3 linked regions of the Macaca fascicularis genome follow. The protein of the gene in region 2 interacts with the protein of the main gene of each other region in a pairwise test. Links are inferred from orthologs where the notes say so. Each region holds a gene or a part of one and is shown on either strand. Other genes may lie near its edges.

What was found.
Region 1: the proteins of ZNF774 (region 2) and GFAP interact in a two-hybrid assay, tested with the Homo sapiens proteins (2 studies listed by BioGRID and IntAct). The link is inferred for Macaca fascicularis from reciprocal best matches to the Homo sapiens genes ZNF774 and GFAP.
Region 3: the proteins of ZNF774 (region 2) and BEGAIN interact in binary tests that used the Homo sapiens proteins (3 or more experiments, as listed by UniProt). The two-hybrid records come from large-scale screens. The link is inferred for Macaca fascicularis from reciprocal best matches to the Homo sapiens genes ZNF774 and BEGAIN.

What each region holds. Positions count from the first base shown.
Region 1 is NC_088390.1:65,968,335-65,973,399, reverse strand, and holds the start of GFAP (glial fibrillary acidic protein), read left to right. Parts: upstream 1-1,791; 5' UTR 1,792-1,805; coding exon 1,806-2,266; intron 2,267-3,212; coding exon 3,213-3,273; intron 3,274-3,477; coding exon 3,478-3,573; intron 3,574-4,043; coding exon 4,044-4,205; intron 4,206-5,065.
Region 2 is NC_088381.1:74,886,175-74,891,548, forward strand, and holds the start of ZNF774 (zinc finger protein 774), read left to right. Parts: upstream 1-1,904; 5' UTR 1,905-2,032; intron 2,033-4,323; 5' UTR 4,324-4,342; coding exon 4,343-4,446; intron 4,447-5,374.
Region 3 is NC_088381.1:168,677,378-168,682,441, reverse strand, and holds the start of BEGAIN (brain-enriched guanylate kinase-associated protein), read left to right. Parts: upstream 1-1,790; 5' UTR 1,791-1,935; coding exon 1,936-1,977; intron 1,978-5,064. UniProt on the Homo sapiens protein: May sustain the structure of the postsynaptic density (PSD).

The DNA of each region.
Region 1 (5,065 bases), on a different chromosome or scaffold from region 2:
GCCAGGGTGACAGTGAGACCCTGTCTCAAAAGACAAAAAAAAAAAGAACATATCCTGGTAATATCCTGGTATGGAGTAGGGGACATTGCTCTCACAGGCTTGGGAGCCTGAGCTGGCTCTGTGAGCTGGGGAGGAGGCAGACAGCCAGGCCTTGTCTGCAAGCAAACCTGGCAGTGCTGGGCTGGCGGCCCCCCAGGGCCTCCTCTTCATGCCCAGTGAATGACTCACCTTGGCACAGACACAATGGTCAGAGTGGGCACACTGCCTGCTTCCCGCCGCACCCCAGTCCCCCTCAAATGCCTTCCGAGAAGCCCATTGAGCAGGGGGCTTGCATTGCACCCCAGCCTGACAGCCTGGCATCTTGGGATAAAAGCAGCACAGCCCCCTAGGGGCTGCCCTTGCTGTGTGGCGCCACTGGCGGTGGAGAACAAGGCTCTATTCAGCAAGTGCCCGGGAAAGGGGATCAGGGGAGGCCCAGGCATGGACAGTGGGTGGCAGGCGGGAAGAGGAGGGCTGTCTGCTTCCCAGAAGTCCAAGTACACAAATGGGTGAGGGGACTGGGCAGGGTTCTGACCCTGTGGGACCAGAGTGGAGGGCGTAGATGGACCTGAAGTCTCCAGGGACAACAGGGCCCAGGTCTCAGGCTCCCAGTTGGGCCCAATGGCTCCTGCGTTTCCAAACCTATCCATCCCCAGAGGTCCTTCCCATCTCCCCAGGCTGATGTGTGGGAACTCGAGGAAATAAATCTCCAGTGGGAGACGGAGGGATAAAGACTCAAGCCAGCACAGCCAGCTCACGCGTAACTGCTTTGTGGAGCTGTCAAGGCCTGGGCTCTGGGAAAGAGGCACAGGGAGGCCAGGCAAGGAAGGAGTGACCCGGAGGGACAGACCCAGGGGCTAAAGTCCTGATAGGGCAAGAGAGTGCCAGCCCCCTCTTGCTCTATAAGGACCTCCACTGCCACATACAGGCCATGATTGATGCTTAGACAAAGGGCTGGTGTCCAATCCCAGCCCCCAGCCCCAGAACTCCAGGGAATGAATGGGCAGAGAGCAGGAATATGGGACATCTGTGTTCGAGGGGAGGACTCCAGGAGTCCTGGGAATGGGGCCTAGTAGGAAATGATGATATAGGCACCCCTTGAGGGTACTGAACAGGTTTGTTCTTCGCCAAATTCCCAGCACCTTGCAGGTACTTACAGCTGAGTGAGAGAAGGCCTGGGTTATGAAATCAAAAAGTTGGAAAGCAGGTCAGAGGTCATCTGGTACAGCCCTTCCTTCCTTTTTTTTCTTTCTTTCCTCTTGAGACAGGGTCTCTCTCTGTTGCCCAGGCTGGAGTGGCGCAAACACAGCTCACTGCAGCCTCAACCTACTGGGCTCAAGCAATCCTCCAGCCTCAGCCTCCCAAAGTGCTTGGATTACAAGCATGAGCCACCCCACCCAGCCCTTTTCTTCCTTTTTAATTGATGCATAACGATTGTAAGTATTCATCACGGTCCAACCAACCCCTTCTTGACCCACCTTCCTAGAGAGAGGGTCCTCTTGCTTCAATGGTCACGGCCCCAGACCCATGGTCTGGCTCCAGGCACCACCTGCCTCATGCAGGAGCTGGCGTGCCCAGGAAGCTCTGCCTCTGGGCACAGTTACCTCAATGGGGTGAGTGGAGCTCTCCCCATAGCTGGGCTGCGGCCCAACCCCACCCCCTCAGGCTATGCCAGGGGGCGTTGCCAGGGGCAGCCGGGCATCACCAGTCCAGCCCACTCCTTCATAAAGCCCTCGCATCCCAGGAGCGAGCAGAGCCAGGGTAGGATGGAGAGGAGACGCATCACCTCCGCTGCTCGCCGCTCCTACGTCTCTTCGGGGGAGATGATGGTGGGGGGCCTGGCTCCTGGCCGCCGTCTGGGTCCTGGCACCCGCCTCTCCCTGGCTCGAATGCCCCCTCCACTCCCGACCCGGGTGGACTTCTCCCTGGCCGGAGCACTCAATGCTGGCTTCAAGGAGACCCGGGCCAGTGAGCGGGCAGAGATGATGGAGCTCAATGACCGCTTTGCCAGCTACATCGAGAAGGTTCGCTTCCTGGAACAGCAAAACAAGGCGCTGGCTGCTGAGCTGAACCAGCTGCGGGCCAAGGAGCCCACCAAGCTGGCCGACGTCTACCAGGCTGAGCTGCGAGAGCTGCGACTGCGGCTCGATCAACTCACCGCCAACAGTGCCCGGCTGGAGGTCGAGAGGGACAATCTGGCACAGGACCTGGGCACCGTGAGGCAGAAGTGAGGAGGGGATGGGGAAAGGGGGCCTTGTGAGCAGAGGGGGCTGAACCCCCGAGAGAGAGTGCCCGAGAAGTCTCAGGCAAGGGCTGAGCCTCCCTGCTCCCTGGGTCTCCCTACCTCTTGATGGGGCACTATCCTTGCACCCCAACATGATGGCAGGGACCAGAAACAGGCCCAGGACCCCAGGGATCTGATTCCCACATGCCTTCTGCCAGGGAGCCAGGGTCCCCTCAGCACCTCCCCACTGGGGAAAGCAGTGCAGGAGCGGCTGGGCCCCCAGCAGCTGGGCCCTTGCGTTTCATTCATGGCTGGGCTTTGTGACTGTGGGCAGTGAGCTCACCTATTGTGAGCCTGGGTCCATATAAAGGAGGAGTTGGAAGCAGAGAAGGTTGGTGTCCATGAGGGAGATTGGATTCTGGGGTAAAGGAAGTGAGGGAAAGAGCAGGCAAGCCTGGGTGCAGCGCACAGGTGACTGCCTGCCACCAGCTTGTGACCTCCGTCAAGTCACTTTGACTTGCACAGCTGTGAAGCGGAGCTCATAATAAAATTCATTTCAAAAGGTGGTTACCTGGGATCAGAGGAATCCCCAGGGGATGGCGCTTCGCTGAGCTGACAGGACATGCGTGTGTGCCTTCAAGTGCAGGAGGACGTGTGTGTGTGTGTGCGCGCGCAGCAGTGTGTGTACGCTGGTGCATGCGCCTGTGTGAGGAGAAGCAGGTGCGCCAACCCTGATAAGGCACCTTAGTAATGAGTTAAGGCAAAAGCCCACATCTGCTCATCCTCCAGACAAGACCTCTGTCTAAGGCCCCCCAACCCTTACTCCTCCTGCTGCTCTACTGGTCCTGGGTGGGGGTGGTCTCTGTGACAGCTGCCTCCAGGGAGATTGAGGCAGGTAGCCAATGTCCTCAGAAGAGCCTGGACCCAGGAATGTGTCCCCCCACTCCAGGCTCCAGGATGAAACCAACCTGAGGCTGGAAGCCGAGAACAACCTGGCTGCCTATAGACAGGTCAGGGAGGTGGAGGGGAGGGGCAGGGGAGGGAGGCAAGGGTTCATGGCCACTCACCCAAACACAGCCCCCAAGCTCAGCCCTCCAGAGCAATGTGCTGCTCCCCACTGACCCAGAAGGAGGGGTAAGGGAAGGCTGAGCAATGGGGAGGAGGAGCCTGGGGCCCGAGTGGCCCTCTACTCCTTACCCCTCCTGCCACTCCAGGAAGCAGATGAAGCCACCCTGGCCCGTCTGGATCTGGAGAGGAAGATTGAGTCACTGGAGGAGGAGATCCGGTTCTTGAGGAAGATCCACGAGGAGGTGAGGCCAGGGCAGAGGAAGAAAAGCTCAACACAGAGACTGCAACTGAGAGAGGGAGGGACAGAGACAGAGGCTGTCCTGTGTCCAAGGCTTAACAGGCTTACTCCCCATCCTCCCAGTCAAGACTGGACTCCTCACCTTCCCCATCTCTTCTGCCTCCTTGGAACTTTTGTCACCACTTTGCCCTCCCTCTTCCATCTGCCTTCAGATAGGCATGCGCCCCTCCCAGATAACACTCAAGCCCCTTGCAGTCTCTGAGAGACACACTCAGAGAGAGGAGAGGAACAGAGATTGGCAGGTAGAGACAGGAAATGAAAGACACAGAGAAAGGCAGTAAGGGAGACAGAAAGAGATGAGAGAACATTCTAGCCCCTGGCCGAAGGGCAGGAAGAAGGGGACACGATGCTGTGAGGAACTGCAGCTGTGGCCTGTACCCTGAGGCCTGGTACCCCTTCTCTCACCCTGGCCAGGAGGTTCGGGAACTCCAGGAGCAGCTGGCCCGACAGCAGGTCCATGTGGAGCTGGACGTGGCCAAGCCAGACCTCACCGCAGCCCTGAAAGAGATCCGCACGCAGTATGAGGCAATGGCGTCCAGCAACATGCATGAAGCTGAGGAGTGGTACCGTTCCAAGGTAGCCCTGCCTGTGGGCCAGCCTGCCTCCTCTAGGCAGCCCTTCTTGCTCCATACAAGAGAATGGGGGAAGGAGGGTGGAAGAAGCTGGGAGAATATCCTCTCCAGGTGACTGACCTTCACCAGAGAAGTGAGATGACTTGCCCAGGGCCACACAGGCACTACTGCTTTCAAAAGTGCCCGTTATTATTACTGCTACTATTGCTATTATTAGTAGTAGCTGATACTGTTCTGTGCTAAGCTCTGTGCTTTTCATGCATTACCTCACTATGAAGTAGGTGCTGTTCTTTGACAGATGAGAGAGCTGAAGTCCAGAGAGGTTAACTAATTTGCTCAAAGTCACACAGCTCCTAAGTGGTAGAGTTGGATTTCCAACTCTAGCCCATCTCACTTGGGAGCCTGCATTCCATGCCTCTGCCAGTCTGTTTTGGGTTACTGAGCCTCTACCGTATGCCAGGCACCCCCTCAGGACACAGAGAGGTGTCTGAGCTGGAAGGTGTGATGTTGACGTGCACCCAAACATAGTGCCGGTAGAGAACACCACAGCTCGGAGCTTATATGTAGTGTGGGAGCCAGGTAAGACGCTGTAGGTGGGGCATTTGGGCTAGGCAGGACAGGCAGGCTGTGGACAGGAAGAGAAGAAGGGAGGGCCATTTCTGGTGGAGGACAGAGCCTGGAGTCAGAAAAGCACAGAGAGGCAGAGCCCGAAGATGCTGGCCTAGCCAGCGCACCTAGCTGAGGAGTGTAAGTAGTAGAAACCACTGGCGTCTGAGCAGGGTGAAGGCCCAATGGAGCTGGGAGGACCTCCCTGCAGTGGGGGGAGAAAGGGCTATTAGAACCCAGGGTGAGGCCAGGCATGGT
Region 2 (5,374 bases):
CACTCCCCACACACCTGATCATTGTGAACAAACCGCTGAGAGAACAAGGTAAGGCAGAAGGAACAGAAGCTGGAGAGAGTGACAGGGATAGCCACCAGCCAGATTCTGTGACTCTTCATTCATCTCCCCACTCCAGTCCCAGATTGAAGAGTAATCTTCATGATCTCCCTGATGGCAAAATGCTAGAAAGACTTACCGAGGGGCCTGAAGATGCCTTCAGTTCTCCAGGTCCTGAACTCTGTTCCAGTTACAGAAGGCCTGGCAATCCCTAGGTTTCCTGGGCATTCCTTTGTTACTGAGCTCCTCTGGGATTTCCATTTTCCTCATTTTCATCTGACTAAATCTAACTACATCTAACTACCTCTGCTAACCAGATATTTGTTCACAGTCGACAGAGTTTCTGAAAATGCAATGTAATTATCTTGCAGATGACTACAATTGTAGCAAAATAACTAAGATACAACTGGCTATATGAAAAAAAAAAAGACAAAATATTACTTAGGATTTTCATACCTTTTATGGTTTATCTCCCCTTTTGGCCTGTAAACTTCATGAAGGTAATGGTTATGTATGATTCCCGAGTAACCACAGTTCCCAGAACGATCTTGAGTATAGAATGTTCCCAATAAATATCCACTGGAAAATGCACACTATTTTTGTTGAAGGAATGGTGGAATTAGCATCAAAGGGATCTTCAACATTAACTCTATGGCTAGCAATTCTTTGTTTTTTTTTTTTTTTTTTTTTTTTTTTTTTGAGACGGAGTCTTGCTCTGTCGCCCAGGCTGGAGTGCAGTGGCCAGATCTCAGCTCACTGCAAGCTCCGCCTCCCGGGTTTACGCCATTCTCCTGCCTCAGCCTCCGGAGTAGCTGGGACTACAGGCGCCCGCCACCTCGCCCGGCTCGTTTTTCGTATTTTTTAGTAGAGACAGGGTTTCACTGTGTTAGCCAGGATGGTCTCGATCTCCTGACCTCGTGATCCGCCCGTCTCGGCCTCCCAAAGTGCTAGGATTACAGGCTTGAGCCACCGCGCCCGGCCTATGGCTAGCAATTCTAAGCGTTTTATAGTACATCACAAAATGTTCTTTCTTTTTCTAAATTGCACTGAATCAACAAACGGAGTAGACAGGCACATTTTCTTCACTTTAAGGAAAGACATTATTTTTTAGCTAGGGGCCGACCCAAAGTGACCACTGGCTTTCACATGAGACCCAGGAGCCTCCCCAGTTTGAAGCCCAATATCACATTTCCCAGAATACTTGATGCCCTCGCCCGCCTCCTCTGGCTATCAACCAGACGGAAAGGGGATGCGCCTGGGAGTTTGATGCCAAGGGAAGGATACGGAATGTCTGTTTTCTCCTAAGGGCGTCTGCTGGGCCTTTCTTATGTCCAGTTTGAGTTGGTCTGGGACCCGGCCTCCGCAAACACTCTGCAGGCTCCGGCCGCCGGGTGTGAGGTGGAAGACTGGGCAGAAGAGAGGCTGCAAAGGCCAGAGGGCTGAGCTGCTCTGCGCTGGGGAGGGGCGAGGTGCCAGAGCGCGGGAGACCTCACGTTGGGCACCAGGCTGCTCCGCGGTAGGTGGGTGAGGCCAGGAGATTCACATCAGCAGATGCCACACTGAGGGTACGGCATTTAGATCCCTAGGCTCCAAACAGGCGGTTCCTGGGGGCCGGTAGCTGGGGAATTGGGTTTAGCACTTTTCAACGCTTGGAACTGGATATGCAAGGCTCCGAGTCCTTTGAGGTCTTGCTCGGGACTACGTTTCCCAGAAGGCTAGGCGGTAATTGATAGCTCTGTCAGCCTATGGACAGAGAAACATTCTAGCCATGGAAACTAAAAAGCCAATAGCAAGAGGACAGGGGCGGTACTTTCCGGCTGCGAGCTGTCGAAGCCTGAGTCCCACCTGTGTCCCCACAGCCCTGTCACGAATCCCGGTCGGGTTCTGGGAGGGACCGCCTCGGGGTTGCGGGCCGGGTGCGGCTCGGCGGTGGAGGACTCACTTCCTGCTCCATCCCCAGCTGGGCCCTGGGGCGGTGAGTGATCCAAGGAGGGAGACTGCGGCGGCAGCGGCGCGCTGCTGAGAGGCGTGGAGGGGGCTCGCCCGCCACCCAGACGTTTTCTCAGAGGGGTTCCCACGCTGGCCTTTGGGAGCCCCCGGGTCTTGCTGGGGTGTGGGAGAGGTAGCTGTGGTCTCTATACCGTCGTCGAGATAAGTCATTCTCTTAATCAGTTTTCTTGCTTCTTGATGGTGGTCCCCGGGTTTCAGCTGATCTGCCACCCTCTGACCGCCGCACCCTGGTTAGGGCCCCAGCACCGAGAAGAAGAACGGGGTTCAGCCCCACGCGTGCAGTCATGTTCCTATTAATAAACCCGGTGAACGCACTGGAGATTCTCACAATGGCACTTAGTCACAGCCCCTCAGAGCTGTAGGGCCTTTGAGGTCATCTGCGCATGGGGAAAGGGACGGGCTGGGAAACAGGGTTTCTATAACCGTGGCTAAGAAGTCTCCAGCAAGGGGGCCCTGCAGCTGTGTTTTGTAATGAATGTAGAAATAAAAATTATACTAAAAGCTCTTTTTTTTTTTTTTTCCTTTTTCTTCTTCTACTTCTTTTTTTTTTTTTTTTTTTTTTTTTTTAGAGGGGATTTCGCTCTTGTTGCCCAGGCTGGAATGCAACGGTGCTATCTCCGTTCACTGTAGTCTTTGCCTCCCGGGTTCAAGCGATTCTCCTGCCGCAGCCTCCCGAGTAGTTGGGATTACAGGTGTGCGCCACCACACCCGGCTAATTTTGTATTCTTAGTAGAGACAGGGTTTCACCATGTTGGCCAGGTTGATCTCGAACTCCTGACCCCAGGTGATCTGCCCATCTCGTTCTCCCAAAGTGCTGGGATTACAGTCATGAGCCACAGCGCCCGACCAATACTGAAAACTGTTATTACCATTTTTACTTTCTAATTACATTATTGTTGTTTGTTAAAGTTTTAAACCAGAGCAATGGTTTTTAGATCCTTAAAAACTCAATACTTTATAAATGACCAATAATAATGTCTGTAAATACATAAATATTTCCCCCAAAAGTGTGTCTGTGTGTGTGTGTGTGTGTGTGTGTGTGTGTGTCTGTGTCTGTATCTGTGTTCCAGTAGTAAATAGGTGCTTTGTAGTGGGACAAAAGATGTGAAAGAGTAAAACTTCTTCACCCTAGTCTGGTCCTTCCTCCCGTGAAATGCAATATTCTTTGTAGTGGGTGGTCATGCTGGCTGAATTTTTTTTTTTTTTTTTAAGGGAGAGACAGGGGCTCACTCTGTTGCTAGGCTGGAGTGCATGGAGTGCAGTGGCGCCATCATAGCTCACTGCAGCCTTGAACTCCTGGGCTGAAGTGATCCTCCCACCTCAGCCTCCTGAGTAGCTGGGACCACAAGTGCATGCCACCATGCCTGGCTGATTTTTAAAAGTTCTTTGTAGAGAAAGGGGTCTCAATATGTTGCTGAGGCTGGTGTATTGGAAAGTTTTTAAGGGAAAAAACATTATCTTAATTTCTTTGTGACTCCTATGCCTGGCAACATATTGATTGTTGAATAAATTACTGATCCATCCAGTAGTTGACTCTGACTATCCTCCAAAAAGTAATGTTTTTCATGATATTGCTGTCAATTTATTAATATATTAATGATTGGTTTCAGCCTCTAAGAGTTGTGTTTTGTGCTTATCCCCATTGACTTTCACTTATTTTTACAACTTATCCATGTCTTTTTTTAAAAAAAAAAAACACATGTCTTTTTCAGTCTTATTTCTGACTCCATTAAGATCTTGAAATAGAGTGGTATCCAACACAGTTCTCTTTGGGGTTCTGCATAATCTGTCCCTTGAGGTTGACCCCAAATCTGCAAGCCAAGAAGTCAGCTGTTCTCATAACTAATATGAGTATAGTTAAGTCCACAATTTCCTTGGTTGCTGAGGAAAATGAAGTTGGGGAGAATCAAAAGCTTTCCAGAAATCAAATTGTACCTACCAACTCTCTCCTTTGTTTACCTTGTTCATCGTGGACAATTTTTTCCTCAAAAAGTTAATGTATCTAAAAGACTGGGTTCTGTCCATGTGTTTGGGAGGCCTAGGCCTCTCTTAGTAATGGGAAAGTTGGCCAGGAGAAGATGTATGTAAAAACAGACTAAGAAAAGCAACCCTCTGTGGTTGACAGAATTTACCTCAGGACCATTCTGATCAGGTGTGGGGGGTTGTTTGTGTACACTGATGGCCATTTTTTGGCTTTCAGACAATGGTGAGAATACCTAGGGAGCTACTGATGCATATCGAGGTCTCTTGCTTTAGGAACTGATGACCCTTGATAATGTGGCTGAGGACTTCAGGGAAGAGTGGGTTACCTGGACACTGCTTAGAGAATCCTCTTCAGGAATGCCACCCAGCACAGTTAGAAGAATGGGCTATCAAAGGGTAAGAATGCTACTCTCCTTTATTTTATTTATTTATCTTGTTTTTTTGAGATGGGGTCTCGCTCTGTCATCCAGGCTGGAGTGCAGTGGCGTGATCTCGATTCACTGCAACCCTTGCCTCCTGGGCTCAAGCAATTCTCCCACCTCAACCTCCTGAGTAGCTGGGATCACAGGCATGTGCCACCATGCCCAGCTAGTTTTTGGTGTTTTTAGTAGAGACAGGATTTTGCTATGTTGGCCAGGCTGGTCTCAAACTCCTGAGCTCAAGCAATCCACTGCTTCCACCTTCCAAAGTGCTGGGATTATGGGTGCCACCATGCCTGGCCACTACTCTCCTTTAATTTGAGACTTAGATAAAGGGCCCAGGTCTGAGTAGTCTCTGGTATGTTGGTGTCTTAGAGCTCCAGACCTCTGTAAGATTAATTGTTGCCTCCTTGGCAGAAAAAGAATTACGTCTTTATGCATTTTATGGTTTGTAAATATCTTTGCTATTTATTGTCTTTTTAATATCTCATCATAACTTTTTGATATATGTATTACTGTCCCCCTTTTCCAGCCTGGGTTGAACTCTCACCTCTGCCACTTAACTTTTGAGACTTCTGAGGTCTTTGTGGAAAAGGAGGTAATTTTTTCTGTCACTTAAAAACAGGCTGGGTGCAGTGGCTCACACCTGTAATCCCAGCACTTTGATAGGCCGAGGTGGGTGGATCACAAGGTCAGGAGTTCAAGACCAGCCTGGCCAACATGATGAAACCCCATCTCTACTAAAAATATAAAAATCAGCTGCGTGTGGTAGCAGGCGCCTGTAATCCCAGTTACTCTGGAGACTGAGCAGGAGAATCGCTTGAACCTGGGAGGCGGAGGTTGCAGTCAGCCGAGACCGTACCATTGCACTCCAGCCTAGGCAATAGAGCAAGACTCTGTCTCAA
Region 3 (5,064 bases), about 94 Mb from region 2:
TGCCTGTACCCCAGGTTCCACATCCCCCAATGGTGTTTGTCCCCTTGGGGACTGGGGAGGGAAGGGACACTGGAGCTGGCAGGCTGGGCCCACACTACCTCTCATGGGCTGCCTCCACTGCTGTGTGCTGTGCTGCCTGAATGGTGTCAGAACCTGAGAGGCCAGAGTGGAGGTCAGAGAAGCTGTTCTGACTCCTGCTGGGGAAACCAGGGCTCCCTGAGCAAAGAGGCTGGTCCGGGGGTGCACACCAGGGACTGGGTTTGGAAGAAGTCTGTTCACGCTTCGAAGGACGGGGAGAGCCCAGTCCTGAGCTGCTACCTCTCATTTTGTCTTGACTGTGGCCGCGTGCACTTGGAGGCACCTCCCTCTGTCCATTGGTTACCCAATCATGTCCCTGGGACCTGAGAGTGAGCAGAGACCGGACCTGAGAGTGAGCAGAGACCGGACCTGAGAGTGAGCAGAGACAGGACTTTGCTTGACACTAAATGGCTCCAGTCAGCTGCTGGTTCTTTTTCTTGTCTCCTTTTTATCTGGGTTTTCCCTCTTGCCTTGCTATCAGCGCCTTTTTTCAGCACTGACACTGCCTGAATGTAGCAACCTACTCCCCAGATTAAATGAGAGAGTGTAGAAACTGCAAAGCATACAACATACAGCATATAAGGATGGTGGTGATGGTAGCACAACAGTGGGAATTCAATGTCCCCAAACTGTACACTTTAAAAGTGGTTCAAATGGTAAATGTTATGTTTTCCATGTTTTCTGCAATTAAAAAACAAAAATGTACAAGGTACTCATTGGCAGCATCTTCTAATCTGCCATGTACTTGGAAATGATATAAGCATGTGTGAACCATGAGCCCATAGGTCCAGACAGAGGATATGAGCAAAGCACACGGGCTTTGTCAGCTCTGTTTCCACCATGCAGGACCCTCCCCGGCTGCCAGTGCTCCTCCCGGGGTTCCCACGCTGGCTGCTGCTGGCCTGGCTGGGATGGAAGACCCTCATGTAGCTGGCACCCTCAGGGCTGCCCCTTGCCCGCTCTGGGAGGAAAGCGGAGGATTCACACTGTACCTTTACCAGGGCGGGACTGAGCCAGCCTGGGCTCTACCCGGGCAGGTCGGTGGGATGCTTCAGACTAGGGGGAGAGGCAGGGGGCAACACTGGTCCTCCTGAAGCCACCTTTCCTTCCTGAGAGCTCCCTGGGGAGAAAGAAGGCCCTGAGAGCCACCGACTGGGGGCTGGGGCAGAGCAGGGGCAGCTTGGCCAGGCGGCACCCTTGGGAACCAGGGTTTCCTCATCTGTAAAATGTGACTCTGCGAGGGCAGGAGCTTGGTTTCTCTGGCTGCTGTACCCCCTGGGGCCTAGAACGAGGCTGGTTGGTACACAGAAGGCGTCTAATAAATGTTGAGGGATTGAATGGATGGACCGATGAAAAGGTTGGGCAGGTTGTTACTGACGGCCTCTGGGTTTCAAGGGCCCATTCACTCTGTCACTCACCTTCGCGCCCGTGCATTAGTTCCCTCATTTATTCATTCCTCCCGCAGGCTCTACCGCACTCATTCATTCATGCACTCTGCCATTCATGCACGCGCGGGTTCATTCATTCCCTGCCCCTCTGCCATTCCTCGCCCGCCCCCCGCGCACGCCGCACCCCCGCGCCCCTGCCCGGCCCTGCGCCCACCACGTGCGCCCCGGCCGAGCGCTGCGGGGGGGAAGTGCGGGCTCAGCCGCGGCTGCGCGGGGCCGGGGCTGGCGGGGAGCCGGGCTGGGGGCGGGGGGCGGGCGCTCCCTGCGGGAAGCCGGGCGGGGTGGGGGAGCCCCGGCCGCGCCGGCTCCCGGCGCGCTCGGCCTCGGAGGGGAGGGGGCGGCGGTAGCGGCGGCGGCGGCGGGACCCGAGCGCGGCGGCGGCGGTGAGCGGCGCGGCTGCCCCGGGGCCATGTGGACAGGCGGTCGCCGGCCGGGCCGGCTGCGCCGGGCGGTGAGTACCTGCGAGCCGGGAGGGCAGGGCGCGGGCGCGGGCGCGGAGGCGGGGCGGGCGCCACCCACGCCTGGGGCGGTCCCTGCTCGGCGCCGGAGGTGGCCGGCTCCCCGCCCTGCTCCCCTCCGCGCGGCGCCCCCGCCGTGGCGGCTTCACTGGCCCGGGAGGAGCCGGGCCGGGTCTCCTGGGAACTGGGCACTCTCGGGTGGGGCGGGGATGCCCGGCCTCCGCGCGCCGCCGCGAGCGCCCGGGTCCGATCGCGGGGTCCTTGCGCCCTGACACGCGCGCCCCTGCGGCGGGAGGAAGGGAGGGGCTGGGGACCCAGGGCGCGGCTGGAGGACTGGGGACGCGCCGCTGTCCCAGGCGGGTGGCGAGGGTGCGGGCAGGCCTGGACCCGCCTGCGTCAGGGGGCAGGGCCAGCCCCTGCTCGGGAGGCCGGAGAAAGGCCCGGGAGCCGGAAGGAGGCTGGACCCGGGGCCGCCTCATTGAGCGTTTGCAGCGCGTGGGCGCGCACGAGCCTCGGACACCACCATCCCATTCAGTGCCTCGCGGCAGGTACTATCCTCCTGCCCCTTTACAGGCGAGGAAACTGAGGCTCAGGGAGGCCAGGGCCTCGCCCAGAGCGGCTCAGCCAGCGCGCTCACCCTCCCTGAGCCCCAGCACGTTGGATGGGAATTTCTGCCCCAGCGTTTCCGCTTCCTGCTTGGTTTAGAGGTGTTTCCTTCCTCATCTGTGCCCCACCCCATCCCCAATGTGGTTTCCTCAGGGCAGGAACAGCGTGGGCGACACGCTGGAGTCTCCTGAGCAGGCAGAATGGGAGCAGAGTGGGCACCCGGGAGCGGGCCGGATGGGTAGGGAGCATTGCACGTGCAGAGTCCGCATGGCCAAGGTCGGGCCAGTGCAGATTGGGGGTCCAGTCCTGGGGGTATGGGTGGGGCGGGGTCTCCACGGCCACGCTCCGTCGGAGGCCCCAGTGCTCTGGCTCTCTGGAGGCCATGGACAGGTCCTTTTCCTTCTCTGGGCCCCAGTTCCTCTGCCTGTCAAGAGCCGCAGCGACCCCCACCACTCCCAGGGCCAGGCTCCCACGAGGACTGTGGGCAAAAGCCCCTAACAAACTGTGGTGTGCAGCCCTGCCAGGCTGGGCTTGGTCTTGCCAACCGAGGCAAGTGGCCGTTGGGGGTGGCTCTGCCTGGCATCTGTGACACGAAGGGCGGGGAGACGGCAACAAGGGCCCCAGCAGCATCCTGCAAACCCTTAATTTTCCCGACTCTCACTATAATCAGGGCGGCTTGGAAAAGCAAGCACCGTGGCAGATGCGGCTCTGCCTGGGCTCGGAACGCGGGCTCGGGGCGATGGGCGGCTGCGCTGCTGCCCAGGGCCCTCCCCAGCTTTTGTCTCATATTTATAGATTCCTACGCTCCGCGTTCCGTTTGTCGTCAAAACCTGGAACTGTTCGCACCTGGGAGCTGAGTGGGGAGGAGGGCTGCCTAGGACCTCAGCTTGGAGGATGAGTTTTCCATGGGCTGGAGTGGAGTGGGGGGACACCTGTCAGATCCCAGGGCCGGGGAGAGGAAATGAGCCCTAAGCAATCTGGATGATCTTCCATCCACTCTCCCAAGACTAGGGCACAGGGTCTGGCCCACATAGCTGCCATTTATGGAACGCCTGCTATGTGCTGGGCCCTGGATCAGCATTTCCACGCATCATCTCCACGGCAACACTTTGAAGGAGCTTCCCTACTCCTGCAGGCACTCCTGATGTTGAAGAGTGGATGGATGGATAGACGGATGGATGGATGGATGGATGGATGGATGGATGGAAGGGATGGATGAATGGTTGGATGAGAGGGAGGGAGGGAGGGATGGATGGATGGATGGATGGGAGAGAGGGATGGATGGATGGATGGATGGATGGATGGATGGATGGATGGTTGGATGAGAGGGAGGGAGGGAGGGATGGATGGATGGATGGGAGAGAGGGATGGATGGATGGGTGGATGGATGGATGAGAGAGAGGGAGGGATGGATGGGAGGGAGGGATGGATGGATGGAAGGGAGGGATGGATGGATGGATGGATGGATGGGAGGGAGGGATGGATGGATGGATGGATGGAAGGGAGGGATGGGAGGGACTGGCTGCAGCCCATGAGTCCATGACTATTGAACATAGTCCACAAATCATTACCCAGGGTCAGAGGAGGTGGGGCCCAAGGGCTGAGTAGTTGCTGAACAGATGAAGGGGTCAAGGCGTGTTACCAGAGCTTGGCCCAAGGCCTGAAAGTGATGGGGAGAGTGTAGAGTGTTCAAGTCTCAAGACTTAGAGAGGCTGTGCCCTGCTGGAGTGTGGAGGCCATGGTGGTGGGGAGGTGTGGCTGCTCCCCCTAAGGGAGGTAAGGATCCCTGGGACAGATCGGAAGGTGACCCTAGGACTTGCCATGTTGGTCTAGAATCACCCCGCAGGGTTCTCTCCTGGCTCCCCCTCCTGCCGAGAGCTGGTCACTAGCCTTAGTGGAGAGTCCTGGACGGAGGTCTGCAGCCCTGGGTTCTGGTTCTTCCTCTGCCGCTGACTCACCGTCTCCTCTCTAGGGCTCCGTATCAGAATCTTAACACCCATTACAGTCAGGGGAGTGACTACTGTGTCCTAAGAGCGGCACCAGATTGTGGCCTGTGGTGGGAGAAGCTGGCCAGAGGTGTCTCTATTGCTTTAATCATTATAGGAGTGAATGAATGATGAATAAGTGGATGAATTCTACACTCACCTAACATGCTGTCCCTAAGCACCCACTCTTCCCTCCTCATTGGGGTCGCTTAGGTGAGTCTGACACAGACCTTGCCCTCCATGAGTCCACAGTCTGCTGGGAGATGGACCCTGGCCAGTGTGGCAGGAGTCAGGAGATGCTGGGGCTCTTCTCTCCCCTCTAGCTAGGAAGGGAATTCAAAAGTGGCCCTTGCCTCAGCAGGCCATGAGTCTGTAGGACAGTACAACAGCCTCTGGGGTCTGCCTGGGGTGGGGATCAGCCAGGGCCCAGCTCTGAGCCATGTGGGGGAATTGTAATTGTTGGTTCAATCGGCAATCCCTGAACCCAAG